Caenorhabditis elegans: one gene and its partner. The protein of the gene in region 2 interacts with the protein of the main gene of each other region in a biochemical or structural test. Each region holds a gene or a part of one and is shown on either strand. Other genes may lie near its edges. The genes, in order: gld-4 and gls-1.

Region 1 (8,017 bases), 380 kb from region 2:
ACTCCAGTTGATGCAAGATCGATCTCAAGAGAAATTGTACGTGTCAATCGTATAAGACGTGTTCGAACTCGTCAAGCATCTCGTTCCGTATTCAATAGTGTTCGTCGTCGACTTTCAATGATAACAGCTAATCGAACTGAAATTCAAATGAATACTCCACAAACATTGCCACGTAGCAAACGGTGAGCTTCCAGATTACGGTAGCCGGTCTCAACACGATCAAAATTACGAACCGTGTGTTTATAAGAAAAATAATTTATTCATTACAGAATCGACAACACTTCGACAGCCATGGAACCAGTGAGTTCGAATGCTTTTCAGAAAATTATTTCTGAAATTCTGAATAACTCACCTGCGTGTACAGAAACAATAAACTCAACAATAATTCCATCAAATTCATCGAATTGTGCGAAATTACGGGAATTTAATCGTCTCGAGTCGATTGGAATTGCTCAAATGGCAGTAGAAAATGAGAATGAAATTTTGGAAGCACTTGATTTTATTGAATGGAATATTCGACTAATGAGTTGTGAATCGGATTATGTAAGTTTAAAGCATTGAAGGATCCGTGTAAAAGTGTATTTTTCAGATTGACAAAGTCTTGGAAGACTTGGAGAATGAGAAGCTCAATAAACAGAACAAATGGGAACGAATCGAACTGATTTTGAGTCTCATTCAAGATTAATAAATTCGAAAAATACAGAGAATTATTTATTTAAGAGAAGCGGTAGTCATCAAATAATTACAGAGAAACACTTGCACACACATAATACTTCAATAAAAGCCATTTTTTTGGCAAAGGGTGAAGGCGGAGCAGGAAAGAATGTTGGAAATAAAACGAAACCTAATGAAGAATGTGTGCGTGTTTGTGAATGTTTAGGGCAAAGAAGTAATGAAAACCGAAAGAAAGAGCTCATGGAAATGAAAAGAATGAACGGAAGAGAGGAGCATGATGATTGATAGAGAACCCGATTTGATTATTCAGTGTGCGTTTTTGGGGAGCGACGACGAAGACGCGAAAACCGAAAGTGTTACAGTTCCAATACACGATAGAGGACCTGGAATTAAGAGAGCTGGGAGAGAAAGAACACAAAACATGAAGACCAATGAATGATATTCTGATACACTAGAAAAAATGAGGGAAAGAACAAAGCGGTTTGGGAATTATAGTATCAGTTCATAATAATTAGAACTGATATTATTATTTCCAAGCCAGAACACCTAGCACATTATTAGAAAGCGATTATTATCTCATTATCGTGACAGAACATCGCATACAATCACGCTTCATTGTTTTCGATACCGTACACTAGAGTCGTTTGAACTTCTACGAATGGACGGAATCTTAAACTGTGAATTGTGTTCCATTATACATGATCTTCGATGACGACAATAATATTACATAAGTATCGCAACTCGTGTGTGTGGGGAACAGGTAAAAGGGAATTTAAGAATATCTTGAGAATCATACTAACAGGCTAAAATCGTCTTCGAAGGAAGTAAACAAAATGTGAATAAAATGGATTGATTCTCAAGACATTCTAGATGTAAGTAAAACAAAGCGAAAAAGTTGCTATTTGAGAATGGACGAGAAACATATTACCGGAATTTTTGTAGCGAGTGCACGACGTGTATGTTTGGGGGCGAATATGGAAGTCATAATAATAATAAAAAATAATAATCAATGATGAATCAGATGATATTAACTCGGGGGAATATATGGAAAATAGAAAAAAATAAACAAGGGCAGCTTGAGCAGCGAGAGTTCGAAAATTTGGAAAGAAAAACAATTTTTGGGCATTTTCTGATAGGGAGTGTTTCTAAACGAGAATATAAAGGGAATACAATGATGGGTAGGAAAACGTAAAAAAGAAAACAACAAAATTGGTTAGGTGAGGGGAATATAATTCTTTTAATAACTTTTTTTGTATATTGTATCTACTGGGATTTTTCAATTGAAAACTAACACACGGGGACGACAAAAAGAGAATCTATACGGGGGTGTGGGAGAGAAAACAGAGTGAATTATGTGAAAACTTATGGGAAAGAGAGTGAAAAAACTGTTATCAGTATGAGAACAAGAAACATGGGAAGGGAAATACAATGCATCCATGAAAGTTACGCTATCGCTGCAGACGATTCACCTGAAAACTGAATGCGGTCATTGAAAGATTAAAAAAAACTATGGACGTAAACATTTTTTGACAGTCAATTTTTTCGAAAACAGCTGTTACAGTATCTCTAATAGCCAACCGAAGGCCTAATGTGAAAGTTTGTATATTTCAACGTTTCAAGCTTTTGATAACGATGCCATTTTGAGGGTGCTTACCAGGGGTGAGCGGCAATCGGCGATCGCCGATAGCCGATGAGAAAATAAGAACTCGGCGATCGCCGATGAAATTTTATAGTCCAAGATAGACCCCTCTGAAGAAGAAAAAAGGTATATTTTCGGATTTTTTTTCTCTACTTTTCGAATTTTAAGGTATCAAGGAGTGCTTTTCGTTGCCTACTTTTTTAGATTTTATAAATAATTCTTTGAAAGAGCTCTTAAAATTAATTGTTTACAATTGAAAAAAATAGGCCCACGCTGATTGCCGATTTTTTTTGGCAATTTGTGATCGCCGATCGCCGAAAAAAAAATTAATGTCGGCGATCGCCGATTTTTTTGGCCTGCTGCTCAGCCCTGGTGCTTACCGGTGGAACCAATTGTGGTTGATGATGGCTTAAATCAGTAGAAGAAGTGGCTGAGTTGTTGTCGAAACCACATTCGTTATCTTTACGCAAATGATGTTGCTTCTGCATTGAAGTATGTGCTGATGGAGGCGTCATGGGGGAAGTTGTAAGAGCATTTCTATAGGATCCTCTTCCAACGTTGACCACGGCCATAGATTGTGGAATTATTCCTAAAATCAGTCAATTTTATATAATTCTTTAAAAAATTTTAAATAGTTACCAACCATTTGCGGGTATTGGATTTCCATTGGTGACGTTGACATCTGCAGTGGAAGTATTGGTTGATGTTGTAATCGAAGACTTCTTTTTAACAACATCGGCATACATTGTTATTGGCTCTTCTGATGAATTATTCGAACCATCTAACGTCGAATTCTTGTTTTGTGAGCGAAATGAATCGTAGGGAATATTATTAGTGGGTCCACAATTTCTAGTATTCGTCTGCTGTCTGGATGGACTTGGTGAATTCGACGAGGCTCTTCTTCCTTGTCTTATATTGTTGTTCCATGATTCAACATTGTATTCATCTGACCCATCAGAGCCTTGTGAAAGATTACGAATTGAAGGACGCTGCCGTTGCGGGTGCGCATTACGATGTTTGTGTGATGGTGCCGCGGTACCTGCTGCATATCGTGAGGGTGGAGGATATGAGTATCCATTGAAATGGAATTCTGAAAATAGGAATTGCACAATATCAATGCAGATGTAAAACTTTAAAAAAAACTTAAAACTAAATCACTTTCGATAAAAGTAAAAAAAGAAAACTCACGATCTTGCATCTTGTCTTCACTGGTTGTCTGCGTTCTCTTCGATTCTCTTGCTGGCTGGGCAACAACTTCATTGAAGGGTTTCTTGAATTGAACAGGAACAGCAGAATTGTTTCGATTATTAATTCCGTTATCCTCATCTTCTTCTGAAGATTGATTTCCCATTGACGAAGACAGTCCTGGTGAATCAGTGTCTTCTCGCTCCGAAATACTCGCTGCAGTAGATACTGTGGCAGATGTATTGACGGATTGTGTAGACGTTGGTAGAGGTGGTCCAGTAAGAATCAAATCATTTTCACCATTATGATGACCTTCTGATTCAGTATCTTCTGCTTCCAATTCAACATCAGTTTCTCTTGTTGCAACCAATTCCTCTTCTTTTTTGTTGTCATCACAAGCCGGCATTTTTTCTAACGATTTCTTTGCTTCAGTTTGTTCCAGAATCTGCTTCTTCAACTGTTGGGCAAGAGTTTGACGATCATCTGCTGGATTTACAATCGTCAGAGGTCGAGAATCCCGCTTTTCTGCCTTCGCTGGTGCTTTTCTAAGCCAAGCGTATCGTGAAAGATCGACCATCGGAGAAACCAAAGTGTTATGCAATTGATTTAAGTCATACGATGCCGGTGCTTCTTGGCCAGGCATTGATAACACACCACTCATTAACCAGTTACGATATGTGAGCTCTTTTGATGTGAATGGCATAATGAGATGGAGAAGAGATCCTTTGTAAGCTCTCATAGCCACATGATTTTTCCCTTTTCGCTCGCGTAATGTGACGGCAACAAGTAATATTTGAAAAGCTTGCCCAAAGGCATTGGCTATTGAAGAAAAGTTGTATGTAGATCTACCGACATCATTTGCAGTAAGTAATGGATCTTCCAATGCTAGATTCCCTGGTTGAGCCTGCTTGTGACCGTATCTTGCTCCGCTAGCCGACTTTGGAATATAGCAACATTGTCCAGGTGATATTCCCATTTCTTCAAAGTTGAACTCTAAAGAATACAGCTCGAGGAAACGAAGCAATAAGTGTCCTAGATTGACTCCTCGGTCGTAAATTGTTCGACTTCGCATGTTTAGGGCGTAAAGCTAAAATTCATTTTATAGACGTTTTGAGCTAACGGAAAAATTACCTGGAAAAAGTTAACGAGCAAAAGGACGAGTCCATAGGAGGATAGACCTCCGGTGAATGTTTGATTGAGATTACGGTAATGAAGGAATTGTTTGAGCAGGAGAACAAGTGGTTCTATTAATGGAAACTCTTCTTTCACCTAAAAAAATGATAATATTTGGTATCTGTTACGGGTTTAATTATCGTACCTTTGCAATGTATGAAGCTGCTCGTACTCCTTGAACTGTATTGAATGAAATATCAATGCTCAATCGAGTATCTCTATCCACCATTTTCACAATAGGCACAAATGCTCCTCCATAGACCATCACCGACTCCGCAATATTGTCCGCTTCAAGTCCACGTGCTGTTTCAGCAAGCCACTGAATTAACAAATATATAAACTGGAAAGTAATAACTGATATAACTATGATTTGAATTCAAAATTCTTATCAAGATTTTCTCTTATTTAATTCTCAGTAAAAAACATACATCTCCAGGTGTTCCAACCCAATCATCGCATTCAACGAGAACGTCAATATCCGAAGTAGGTAAGAAGAGATTCGTTCTAAGACTTCCAAACATTGAGATTTTTATTGTTTTCTGTTTCCATCGCCGTAACACAGAATCGCGGACCTGAAAATTTAATGTTTATATTTTCCGTATTTTCCTTTTTTTTTCATTACGAGAAGTTACAGATTTCGAGTTTTCGGTTAACTTTGCTACATATTTCAAAAAATTAAGAAAAAGTAAAACTAACCTTCTCAAAGACCTTCGTTCGAAGTCGCGACTCTATCTCGTTCGGTTTTATCCAATGATACATATCGACAATTTCCTCGTGCAGTCCTTGAATATTCAGTCCGTACCGTTTCCTTCGCCATGGGGCGAACGGCAATGAATCACTATATCCAAACTCTGGAGTTTCACTCTGAAAATATATTGAATGATTAATCAGTTTTTAATTTTGATAACTAGTCAACATTTGTTTACACGTTTAAGTAAAACCTACTTTGCAAGTTCTGGACGTTGATGGCTGTTCCTGGGACTGACTAAGACGGCGACACGTATTTGGTTCATCCGAATTCATAGTCGAAGGAATCGATGAACGAGGTGTCGACGTTGACGGTTGTTGTGATGATGATAATCTGCTGTCTTCATTCATCTGAAAATAAACTTTTAGAAGTTGAAAAGAACCACGTAGTTCGAAGTTATAATGACAATATAAAGATCAGAAATCTTCCAAGAGAACTCATAAATCTAAAACTAAACTGAGTTCCGGAAGTCAAAAAAAAAAGAGCCCATAGATATGAAGAGGTTGTGATAAAAATGAGATGATCAGAACGGGAAAGAAGGAATTGGGGTGTGAAGAAGAAGGAGAGTGATAAGATAATCGTCGTTTTTCATGGGAATAGTTTTTGAAGGCTCTTCCCCATCTTTTAGACGGAAGAGTGAGAGTCGATGCGATGAAGATAAACGCAAAGAAAGAGATACCACGTTTTTCTAACAAAACAAAACAACTGTTGCTAAATACTTTGTAAAGAGAGAAAAATCATAAAATAAACTTGATTTGAGGGTTTTACATATAATGTAACATTATTCGTTACTATTTTCCATTATGATGAGCCCCATACTTTTTCTTTTTGCGTTTTTCAACGAATTAAACTTTTCTTAAACATTTGATAAAAATCAAGTTTTCTTGAAAGGAATTAAATTTCACTTCGTTTTGTATTTTGATGCCCATGGAGTACAAAGAAACAAACATCTTGAACACACATTCATTTTTTATCAATATTTTTCAAAAATAACTTCCATATGTTCTGCTTGTCGCGGGAACACAACAAAATACAACGTCACTTTTTCTCTTTGTCTCCCATGCATCTCAACATTTCAACAATATCAATTTTTGAGCCACAGGCAATGAATTCGGAGCAAGCAGATCTCGGCTTTCCGCGAAGAGAGAGACAGCGACAAAAAATCAGAGAGATCATAAGTAAACACCATATTTTTAGACGAGAAAGAGAGAAAAATACGCATTTTCTCAGAAATTTGTTTTTTATCTGAGTGGATAGAGATTAGAAATATAAATAGAGGAATAGGCGAGCTGATTCGAAGTACTGACTGAAATTTCCAGAAAAACTTGAATTTTCTATTATTTTTCCAAAATAAGAAAAGCAGGTATATAAGATTTGTTTGGTGATTGCTAGTAGTTTTTGAAGATAAACCCGGCTATCAGTAAGCAATCAAAGATAATCATAGATTATTTTAACAGAATTAGGCTTATAGGTCACAGTACTTATAAAAGTAAATTAATATTTTTACTCTCTCGCGTAAAAATGCGGAAGTAATACTCAATGAAACTTTTCAATAATAATTTCAAAGCGGAAGTGATAACTCAATTGTGAACCGAAAAAAAAGAAGAAAAATGGTATCGTCTCTATTCGACAAAAAAAGTTTTCTTTCTACAGTGTGTAGAAACGGACGTTGCTGGACGAGACGGAAAGATAAAAACCAAAGAAGAAAATCTTTCGACCGGCGGGTGGATGGATCTATGACGAGAGATTGTGAGATCGAGAGAGATTTAAATGAAATAAAGAGTGAGATGACGAAAGAAAGGTGTAATAACAAATACCATCTATCGACATTTTTATGCGTGTGATGGTTATGCATAATTAGTGAACTATTGAGACGTAAAAATGTATGTACGTTGACATTTCAGTGTAAGGGTTTTTTTTTCAAATGAAATTATAATTTAATTTAAATACCGATTTTTAAATTTTAAACTGGAAGAAAAACCAATTCAAGTAAAGAAAAAAGTTTACAAATTTTTAATAGTGAGGTAGCAATTCCTAAAGATATCTGAAGTAAAAAGGAAGCTTCTTAATCTTGTGCGCGCGCGTTTAGTACACTCGAAATTAGAGTCTCATGCACTACAAACATTCGGAAAAAAAAACAGTGAGACGAGACTAGGAAACACACAGCCACGGTCATCGTCCACATACACCACCCTCTCTTCCACTCATATTCGTTCGCACTCCCCGCCTCTCTCTCACTCTTCGCCACTATTATCAAAATAGCCGTTTGCAGTTTGCACAGCAGCAACCAGCCAGACCCATCGCAACACACAGCTAAATGTCTTCCACCACCTCCGCAAAGCAATGGAACACAGAAAAAAATCTATGCCAAAAAACAAAGACGACGTAATGGTCGAAAAAGTTCAAGAATTTGTCATATCGAATACTCGCCATTATTTAGGTATCTGGCATAGGAACAGTAAATGTTGTTTTTATTACAAATATGACTAAATTTATTTTGATTTCGAGGAAAATTCAAAATAGCAGATCACACCAATGCACAAAAACTCTTCTAATTATAAATGTGAATTTCTGATCACTTCACAATCAAACAAGTC
Region 2 (8,402 bases):
AAAATTTTAAAGTTGACGCAATTAGGTAATCTATTTAAATTTTATTGAAAATAAATTGGGCATTATAATTTGAACATAACTAGTTTGGCAATTCCAAAAAAAAATTTCAGCCGAACCAAGCCAAATGGGCAAAAATAGATTTCGCGGATGCATATATCAATATCGCCAACTTCAACAAAAACACTACGGATCGAATTCGTCCAAAAATATCGATTTTTCACTTTAATTCTCAATCTCTTCGAGTAATTTGAGTTTTCAACATTTTTATCATGTTTCGTGTTCTTGCTCAACATTTTAATTTTCCTCAAATCATATTGATCAGATATGTACATATTAAAAATATTATTGTTTCTTGATTAAAATCTAAATTTAATGGTGCATTGACACGATATACAAATGTGCCTTTAAACTAATTTTTTATTAAATTCAATAATATTTATATAATGTCAAATCATCCAAAAATCATCAATTCTTTCACACAGTGTCTTCCAAGCTTTGCAATATATTCAAATTTGTCTGTAACTTTCTGAAATTTGCCTATTTTCCAATTGTTCATCAAGCCTTTTCATCCTCAGGATCATCTGATTTTTCTTTTTTTACCTTTACTTCCCGAACCCTCATCCAAAATTGTCATTTCCTGCCATTTTCAGTTTTCAATCGATTCTAGAAAAGTGTCCATCGGGAACATGACGTAACAAGGTCCATTCATTTTTTTTTCTGAAACAACTTACTCCATTTCTAAATAATCTTCGAAAGTGGTGATTTTAATAATTCATTCCGTGGTTTCAATTTGTAAAATCCCGATTATAATTAATTCCAAATGCATTTTCTTAGTTGTCGCATACTTTAAAAACTGTTCAATTATTTCATTTGTATTTCATTTTTAAAAATGTGTAAAATTTTATGTTAGTGTGAGTCATCATTTCACGAAGCGATTCTCGAATTTTTTGTATCCCAAATGTTGTGTTTTTCTCCTCTATCAGCATAAAGTTTTGTAAATATTTTTTTAGTTCCACCGTTCATTTCGCACCTAAGAAACAATTAAAATAATTGGGAAAATGAAAGAAAATTTAGAGGGAAGAGAGAGGGAGAGAGAGATAGGGTTACAAAAAAAACAAGAAATCAACGATATTATTCTTGAAGGTGGAAGACGGGGTGGTCAAAAAGATATATGTATATATAAACAAAAATATGTATAAATTAAAAAAGTGAATACCTAAACGAAAGAGAGAAATGACCAGCATTTTGAAATATAGAAAACAGAAAAAATTGAATAAAACTAATCAGGTGGTCTTGGCTTGTGAATTATGAAGAGAAAGAGAACGTTTTTCGAGACTTCAGTGATAATTTGTTATAGTTTAAACGAAGTTGTACCACGTGTACGTACCTAACGAGAAAATGTCGCTTTAAGGATGATGATGGCAATCGGGATGTGATGGATCAGAGAAATTCAATAATACACGTGTCGATGAAAATTAAAATGTGTGAGCGTTAAACATAAACAATGAAAAAAAAATTGGGTGAAAGAAAGAACAAAAAAAGAAGAAAACTATTACGAAATCACAAGAATTGATATAAAAAGGAGCAGCAATTCAGCATCTCTCAGAAATTCGAATTCTGGTTCCCGCCCCCACTGTTTCCGTTGACTCCACCAGTATTATTTGAGTTTTGTACAGTTCCCTGGGCATGATAGTATGCTATCGGAATTTGCGGTTCATATGTTCCGTTTGCACGAAATTGTCCACCTGAGAAATTATTGTGTCATGTTGAATCAATTATTCTAATTTTTAAAAGTTTAATACATACCATTATGGAATATAGTATTCTGAATTATGTGCTGTTGTTGATGATGATTGAAGTGATTTGATCCTAACATTGCTTGCGGATTTTCAATGTATACTGCATGGGGGAGGTTTGCATGAATTGGAGCGTATGAATTGGAAGAGGAAGTTCCACCATTTTGCTGAGAACCTTCCCCGTCTGAACGAGTTCTATGATCACCTTAATAATTGATTATTCTCATTATTGCCATCTAATTCAACTTGTACATGCCTTTCTTCGATAACAATGTTTGTTTTTCACAGTGTTTCGGAGCGTGAGGACCGCCACAATTAGAGCAACTTGGGAACAGCGTCTAGAAATTGAAAATTTCTCAGATTTTACGAAAATTCGAAATCAAACCTGCACTTGTGTTTGCGGGATATTTGAATAAAGGAATGGTTGCATATTGACAGGCAATTCAATCGGGTCAATGCTTCCTGTTGCATTTCGTTTGAAGTAACGAACTGGAGATTTGGCACGTGGATTCTTCCATCGAGAATATATTAATCCATCCGATGCTTCGCGAGTTTCCTGCAATAGCTTTATTTCGGAATAGATTCGTTCTTTTCAATCAATCTAGAAATGAACAGTATCAGAAACTAACATCTTCTGTTTTCGCTCTGGTACCGTTGAACTCTTCACATATTACAGCTGACAGCATCATTCTAGCTGGCAAGTCAGAAAGTTCATTGATGTATTGAACATATTGAGCTGGAGTCGCATCACGAGCAAGACGTGGAACAATACGCTCTCCGTTTGGAGCAAACGCTGCAAAAATAAAAATTGTAAATTAGAGACTATAAATTGAAAATACATACTCTCCATTGTAGATGTGCTCGCTGAAAGCTTTTTGTTATCATCGTCAAATGAAGAGTAGGATGTAGTGCATCCTTGATGAAGATATTTTTCACTTCTCTGTTGTCCGAACTCATCAAGAAGACGATGCTGTAGAGCTTTCAATTGATCACGAGATCTTTGAGCAAATGTTCTGTCACCATCACTCCAATGAATCTGAAAACCTTTATGATTTCAGAAACTTCAGGTTGCGTGTTACCTCCAGGCTGAAAAGATTATCGTTCTTCTCAATTTGTCGTCCAATAAATCGAATGATAAAGAATGTTCCCGGAACTGATGGCGACGGCTGAACTGGATTACTCTCGAAACGCGAACCTGAAAAAAAGATGCGGAATGTTATCAGTGATTTAGTTGGAATGTTCCGAACTCAATTCATCGACTAATTATCGAAAAATTTCTAGAAATGCATGTGAAAAATTCTGTTAAATATTAATTAATTGCTTACCCATAACACCTGATAGTGGCTCAAATTCTTCCTCTGATTCATGGTCGGAATCAGTATCATTCTCATCGCCAACAGCTTGTGATGATGGTACAACAAGATTGCTTTGCTCCAACTGTTTCTGAGTTGTGTAGTATTGTCTAAACAATGTTTCTATTTGAGCACGTAATCCGTCCCGCAGAGCCGCATATTTCATTTTGTCATCAAGAGTAATTGCTGGGTGATGAGTCATGGCTGCGACTGAAACAAAAAAGTATACTCCAAAACACGGAAATGAAGACTTACCAATTTTACCGATTTCTTGTAAAACGGTAATTTTATCAAGTTCATCCGGAATACGTTCGAGTATTTGGCTCTTTTCTCTCAGAATAACATTTTGAACATAGTCAGAGATCTTTAAATAAATCGATTAAATACCATCTAAAGTCGTATTCTGATTCACCTTAGCAGCTGATTTTCTATTTGTTGATGAACAAACTGCCATGAGAGTGTATATGTAACTGGTAAGATCGAGAACAGATTTGAGAAACAATTCTGGTTCTTGAGGGACCGGTGGTACCGACTGTGGTACAGTCACTGAAGTTGGATGTGCAGGGTTTGCTGCTGTGGTGGAGATGTGATTAGAACCGGGCTCCGGTTCTGGTGATGTTGTATTAGATTGGTTGATATTGCCGCTCGAACCTGAAAAATGTTGCGAATTTGAGAGGGAAATTGTGTTGTAAAATACATTTTTTAACTGTGTCAAATAATGATGAAGATTTTTTACCTCTTGCAGTATTTGGTTTGGAATCTAGCTGTTGTCTATCTGATGGAATATTATTGCTTATTCCGTTCACACTACTTGATAGCACAACTGGTACATTGTTAACATCCTTATTTGCAACGGAAACTGATGATGAAGGTGTCGTACAAGAGGTTGAATGATGAAAGTTAGCATCAGGTGGATACATAATATTCTGCCTGAAATAAAAAATTTTTAAATTATAATTCACCGACAATAATGCATACATTCCGCCTAATAACGGTGGAAGACCAGGTGGATGTTGCTGTACAAAAACCGAGTTAACTGCATTTCTTGTTTGATACAGGGCAGCATCCGCAATACCAGGAAAATAATAAACTTGTTGCGGTGGAGGTGGAGGAGAGCAAACGAATTGAGGTAAACCAGCTGTTGGATCCGAACAGTTTGAAGTCTTTTCTACTGGCCGCATTTGATTGTTATAGCAACGAACAGATCCTTCGATACAATTTCCAAGCAGGCGAAGATCGGTTGGAGACAGGAAAGAAACAAGTTCACACATAAACTCCACCTTATCCCATTCATCGTGCTGCAATCCAAACTACGTTTTGAAAACTAATAACTTTTTAAAAATTTTGTTTGAATAAAAATGATAAATACTAAAATGTCTTGTATTTATGAATCACCTCTTTGAATGCCATCACAGAATCCATATTTTTCGGATCAGTGCTCTTATATGGCATCGGCTCTTCATCACGCTTGATTTTTGGTTTTTCCTTCTTCTTTTTTGCTTCTTCGACTGGTGGATCTGTTTGAACTATTTTGGATTCTTGAAAGATGGGAATAGCAGTCGGAGTTGTGCTCACTGGAGGAGCAGAAGACGCTGATATTTGTCCCGCAGAGGATAGGGAAGAATTTGACAGAAATCCAGAAGATTTAGCATTTTCCAACGAGTGATAATTATTGTGGTTATGTGTGTAGCCACCTCGATAACTTTGGTTCGAATGATCACGATTCTTAACATTAAAATTAATTTTTATCGTAATTATACGTTTATACAAACCTTATTCTTTCGGTTCTGCTGATTTCCGCTAACATGGTTTGAATGATGATGATTATGGTTAACCTGACTTTGCCTATTACCACTGTGAGTGTTTCTGAACGAGCAAAAGCTAAGGATTTGTTTTAACTAGTTACTGATTTAATTACTTCTCCTTTTCCTTCGGCCGATCTTTATTTGTGGTTCCTTTGAAAGCACCCGATTGTGAATTAGCAGTGTTGCTTGTCTGCAAGTGAATCATAAACAGGTTGAGAAAACATGTGTTTTAAAATATGAAATAATTATGCACGATAGACTCAGTCGAATTTATCTTCGCCTACTTACCTTCTCAAGCTCGTTGTGCCCAGCCTTTTTGGCAGGAAATTTAGAAATTCCAGTTTGCTGTGACGTTGAAGAAGTCGATGAAAGTCTTTGATGTGAATATTGATTTTGAGATTGACTCTGCTGTGAAGAAGGTACTGTAGTGGTCGTAGTGGTAGTTGAGGTGATGGACGATGTAGACGTCGAAGCGTCTGAAATGAATATAAATAAATTCTATGAATCTTGAGAGTTGAATTTTCTTTAAATTTACATTGTTGCTTACCGCATTTTAGAGACCCTTTATGTTTCATTTTAACGTTTTCTTGAGAATTTTGTTGAAGTATTCCAAAATCAGAAGAGAATACATAGAAATAATAGGACATTGAATATATATATATATATATATATATATAAATCAAATTCTAAAATTAAATCAATAAATATGAAATGATTAATATAGACGTTCCAATCTAATTGTTAAAATTTAGATGCTAGAAAAGTCATTGCTTATCACTCATCACATCAATAGGGAAATCAAATGTAATAGTTTGGGTTATAATAAATAAATCGACTTTCGCACCTTGATGCTTATTGAAAAGAGAAGAGGAAGAGATGGAAAAGGGGCATCGTGCCTGTGTTGGTGGCCTCTTTCTCTTTTTTATTTTTATTATATATGTTTGCCCTCCTCGGTTCTGTACTCGTCTATTCACTTTCTTTCTTTTCTTCGGGGTCATTTTTTAAGCACAGATTGTGAAGACCAAGGTCTCCAAAATCTCGATTTAAATGAACCATTGGAAATTAAGACACAAAATTTTGAATTAATTTGCAATTGCTGCAAGAAAATTCTAAAACCTATTTAGGAACAGCCGTCCTTGTTATTTCAAAACAGATTTGTGAGAAACGTGTATACGTACTATTGCTGGAAGTGTTATCGTTGGTGACGCTATGACTGGAATTGGAATTTTGTCCAATTTGTGATGAATTCTGAGTTGTTGCAGCGGCAGTTGCTGTTGCGTTATTCCCGTTCATCGTTGACCCGTCTGTACTTTTCTTTTGCTGATGGTTCTGAAACTAGGGAAAAATATGTCGAATTTCACTATCTTTATCAACACACCTTTTTATTGGCCATACTTTTCATCAAAATACCAGTTAACCGAGACTTCTTACGCTTTTCTTGAAGAGTTAAAGCTGTGACGTCTGAACGGATAAATTTTAAAAAAATAAGGAAGGAATGAAATAAATAAGATATCAAACATCGCATACTTACGATGAATTACAAAAAGTTAATAGTAATAAGAATCATGTACAGATTTTATATTTACACGTGAAAATTGTGGGCTGCCCGAGTAAACAACAGGTGAATGAATACATATAAATTAAAAAAATAAACAGCAATTTCAAAAAAAAATTCAGTGGTTCTCGACAACCTTCCATTTGCAAAATTCGAACTTTAATCCATTTTCTTCGAAAATTTCTGAATTTTCCGATGACACCTCGGCATTTTGAACTTTCTCCATTTTACTGAAATCGAGTGACTTGAGATGAACATCGGCTTCGAAGCTGAAATTACGACAGAGTAAAAAAACTGTGCAAGCACCCTACTTTTTGAAAATACGTGTCAAGTGAATTTCATCAACCAAGTTTTCTCGCAACGCAAGATCATAGATTTCAGCTCCACCGATATTCCAGATTGTTTCGATCGAATCCACAAATGGTGGCTCCGAAAGTAGTTTCATAGCCGCTTCGAGCGAGTTTCTGAATGTAACAACAACAGGTTAAATATTATTTCATGACAGCTTACACAACAATGTAGTCATCGGACTTTTGCGCAGGAAGTTGTCGGCTCAAAACAATGTTTAGCCGTCCTGCCAACGGGCGGCGAGTTACTGGAATGCTTTCCCAGCATTTTCGTCCCATGAGAACTGCATTTCTCTACAAAAGTTATGTTACAAGTTTAGTTAGAAATCTCGAACAACCTTCGACTGATCAGAAACATTTTTGGTAACAGACGCGAAATACTGCATGTCTTTCTTGATTCGCCATGGCAACACGCCATTTTTGCCAATTCCTCCTTCGGCATCCATAGCCACTATTAAGTTCATTTTTCTCATTTTTAATGCCTAGAAATAGAAAATAACTCGATTGAGATACCAGAGAAAATTTTAAAAACGGGTAATGAGAACTTTGCACAGCAAAACGAAGCACATTTGAAATACGCTTCCATTCGACTTCGTATCGACTGAAATCTTCAAACAATACAGATTTCGAAGATAAAGATAATGAATCGTGGGAAAATCAATAAAAATAGATAATCAAAAAAAAATGAGGGTGAAAATGAATCGAGAAGAAGTGAGAGAACCTCAGATTTCTTCAAATTATCATTAGAGCGCGATTACTGGTTCCCACTTTCGAAGAATTTTCACCGCTTTTTTTGAACTTTTATGCCATTTTCTTTCCTTTGTTCACTTTAAAATGTTTTAAACTTCACAACTAAATATAATAAATTATAATAAAACTACAAGCCCATTCCTATGTCTCACATCTTCGTTCTGAATGTCCTAATATATAACTTCATATTCTTTACAGTGGTTTTTAAAGTAATTAAATTTTTTAAGAGCACACAAAATGGCTGAAAATGGCAATTTTGCTGTTCCAGCACCGCCAAGACAGTTTGGATCACTGGCGAATGCAGAAAGCGTGAATGCAATCTTGGTATGTTTTTTTTCATGAATTCTTTGACTATGTTATTTTTTCTGAATTTTAATTTAAAATTTCAGAATGCACAACAGCAAAACCATGGACCCACAGTGTCTTTGGAACGAATGGAAGTATCAAATCAAGCAGATTCACGCCACGATGCTGAAATGTTTGCAGAATTTGATAGAAGACGGAGAGCAAGAACTCTCACATTGCCAACAGATGATGTTCAGGTACAGTTTTGATACATATGAATAAAATTTTTTTAATAACTACCCACTTGAAGATATATTTTAAAGGTAAAACTGAAACTTCGTGCTCTAAACCAACCAATTTGTTTGTTCGGAGAAGATGCATTGGATAGAAGAGAAAGACTTAGAGCTCTACTTTCAACAATGTCTGAAGATGAAATTGCAGCCGTTTTGCATACTGATGAAGTAAGTTTTTCAATGTTTGAAAAATTATTTAAAAATTTGAAGGTGAATGCT

What was found.
Region 1: of the proteins of gls-1 (region 2) and gld-4, one has a biochemical effect on the other in vitro, tested with the Caenorhabditis elegans proteins (one study listed by BioGRID).

What each region holds. Positions count from the first base shown.
Region 1 is NC_003279.8:9,115,868-9,123,884, reverse strand, and holds gld-4 (Poly(A) RNA polymerase gld-4), read right to left. Parts: upstream 5,771-8,017; coding exon 5,618-5,770; intron 5,537-5,617; coding exon 5,369-5,536; intron 5,245-5,368; coding exon 5,101-5,244; intron 4,992-5,100; coding exon 4,818-4,991; intron 4,769-4,817; coding exon 4,631-4,768; intron 4,587-4,630; coding exon 3,503-4,586; intron 3,405-3,502; coding exon 2,958-3,404; intron 2,904-2,957; coding exon 2,695-2,903; intron 2,145-2,694; coding exon 2,124-2,144; 3' UTR 704-2,123; downstream 1-703. Other genes in the region: ZK858.2 (uncharacterized protein), read left to right, coding at 1-182, 270-543, 590-685. UniProt on the Caenorhabditis elegans protein: Cytoplasmic poly(A) RNA polymerase that adds successive AMP monomers to the 3'-end of specific RNAs, forming a poly(A) tail. The enzymatic activity is enhanced by its interaction with gls-1.
Region 2 is NC_003279.8:8,735,148-8,743,549, reverse strand, and holds gls-1 (Germline survival defective-1), read right to left. Parts: upstream 6,479-8,402; coding exon 6,332-6,478; intron 6,283-6,331; coding exon 6,132-6,282; intron 5,430-6,131; coding exon 5,242-5,429; intron 5,144-5,241; coding exon 5,067-5,143; intron 5,015-5,066; coding exon 4,921-5,014; intron 4,874-4,920; coding exon 4,544-4,873; intron 4,447-4,543; coding exon 4,127-4,446; intron 4,079-4,126; coding exon 3,885-4,078; intron 3,800-3,884; coding exon 3,561-3,799; intron 3,513-3,560; coding exon 3,404-3,512; intron 3,359-3,403; coding exon 3,122-3,358; intron 2,992-3,121; coding exon 2,876-2,991; intron 2,833-2,875; coding exon 2,640-2,832; intron 2,590-2,639; coding exon 2,426-2,589; intron 2,362-2,425; coding exon 2,182-2,361; intron 2,135-2,181; coding exon 2,053-2,134; intron 2,002-2,052; coding exon 1,807-2,001; intron 1,746-1,806; coding exon 1,603-1,745; 3' UTR 1,002-1,602; downstream 1-1,001. Other genes in the region: dhfr-1 (Putative dihydrofolate reductase), read right to left, coding at 6,627-6,777, 6,820-6,972, 7,019-7,149, 7,194-7,328; prp-4 (Pre-mRNA processing factor 4 (PRP4)-like domain-containing protein), read left to right, coding at 7,843-7,929, 7,995-8,147, 8,214-8,351, 8,394-8,402. UniProt on the Caenorhabditis elegans protein: Required maternally for germline survival by forming a maternal complex with gld-3. During hermaphrodite development forms a complex with gld-3 which promotes the sperm/oocyte switch freeing the translational repressor fbf to turn off sperm promoting factors.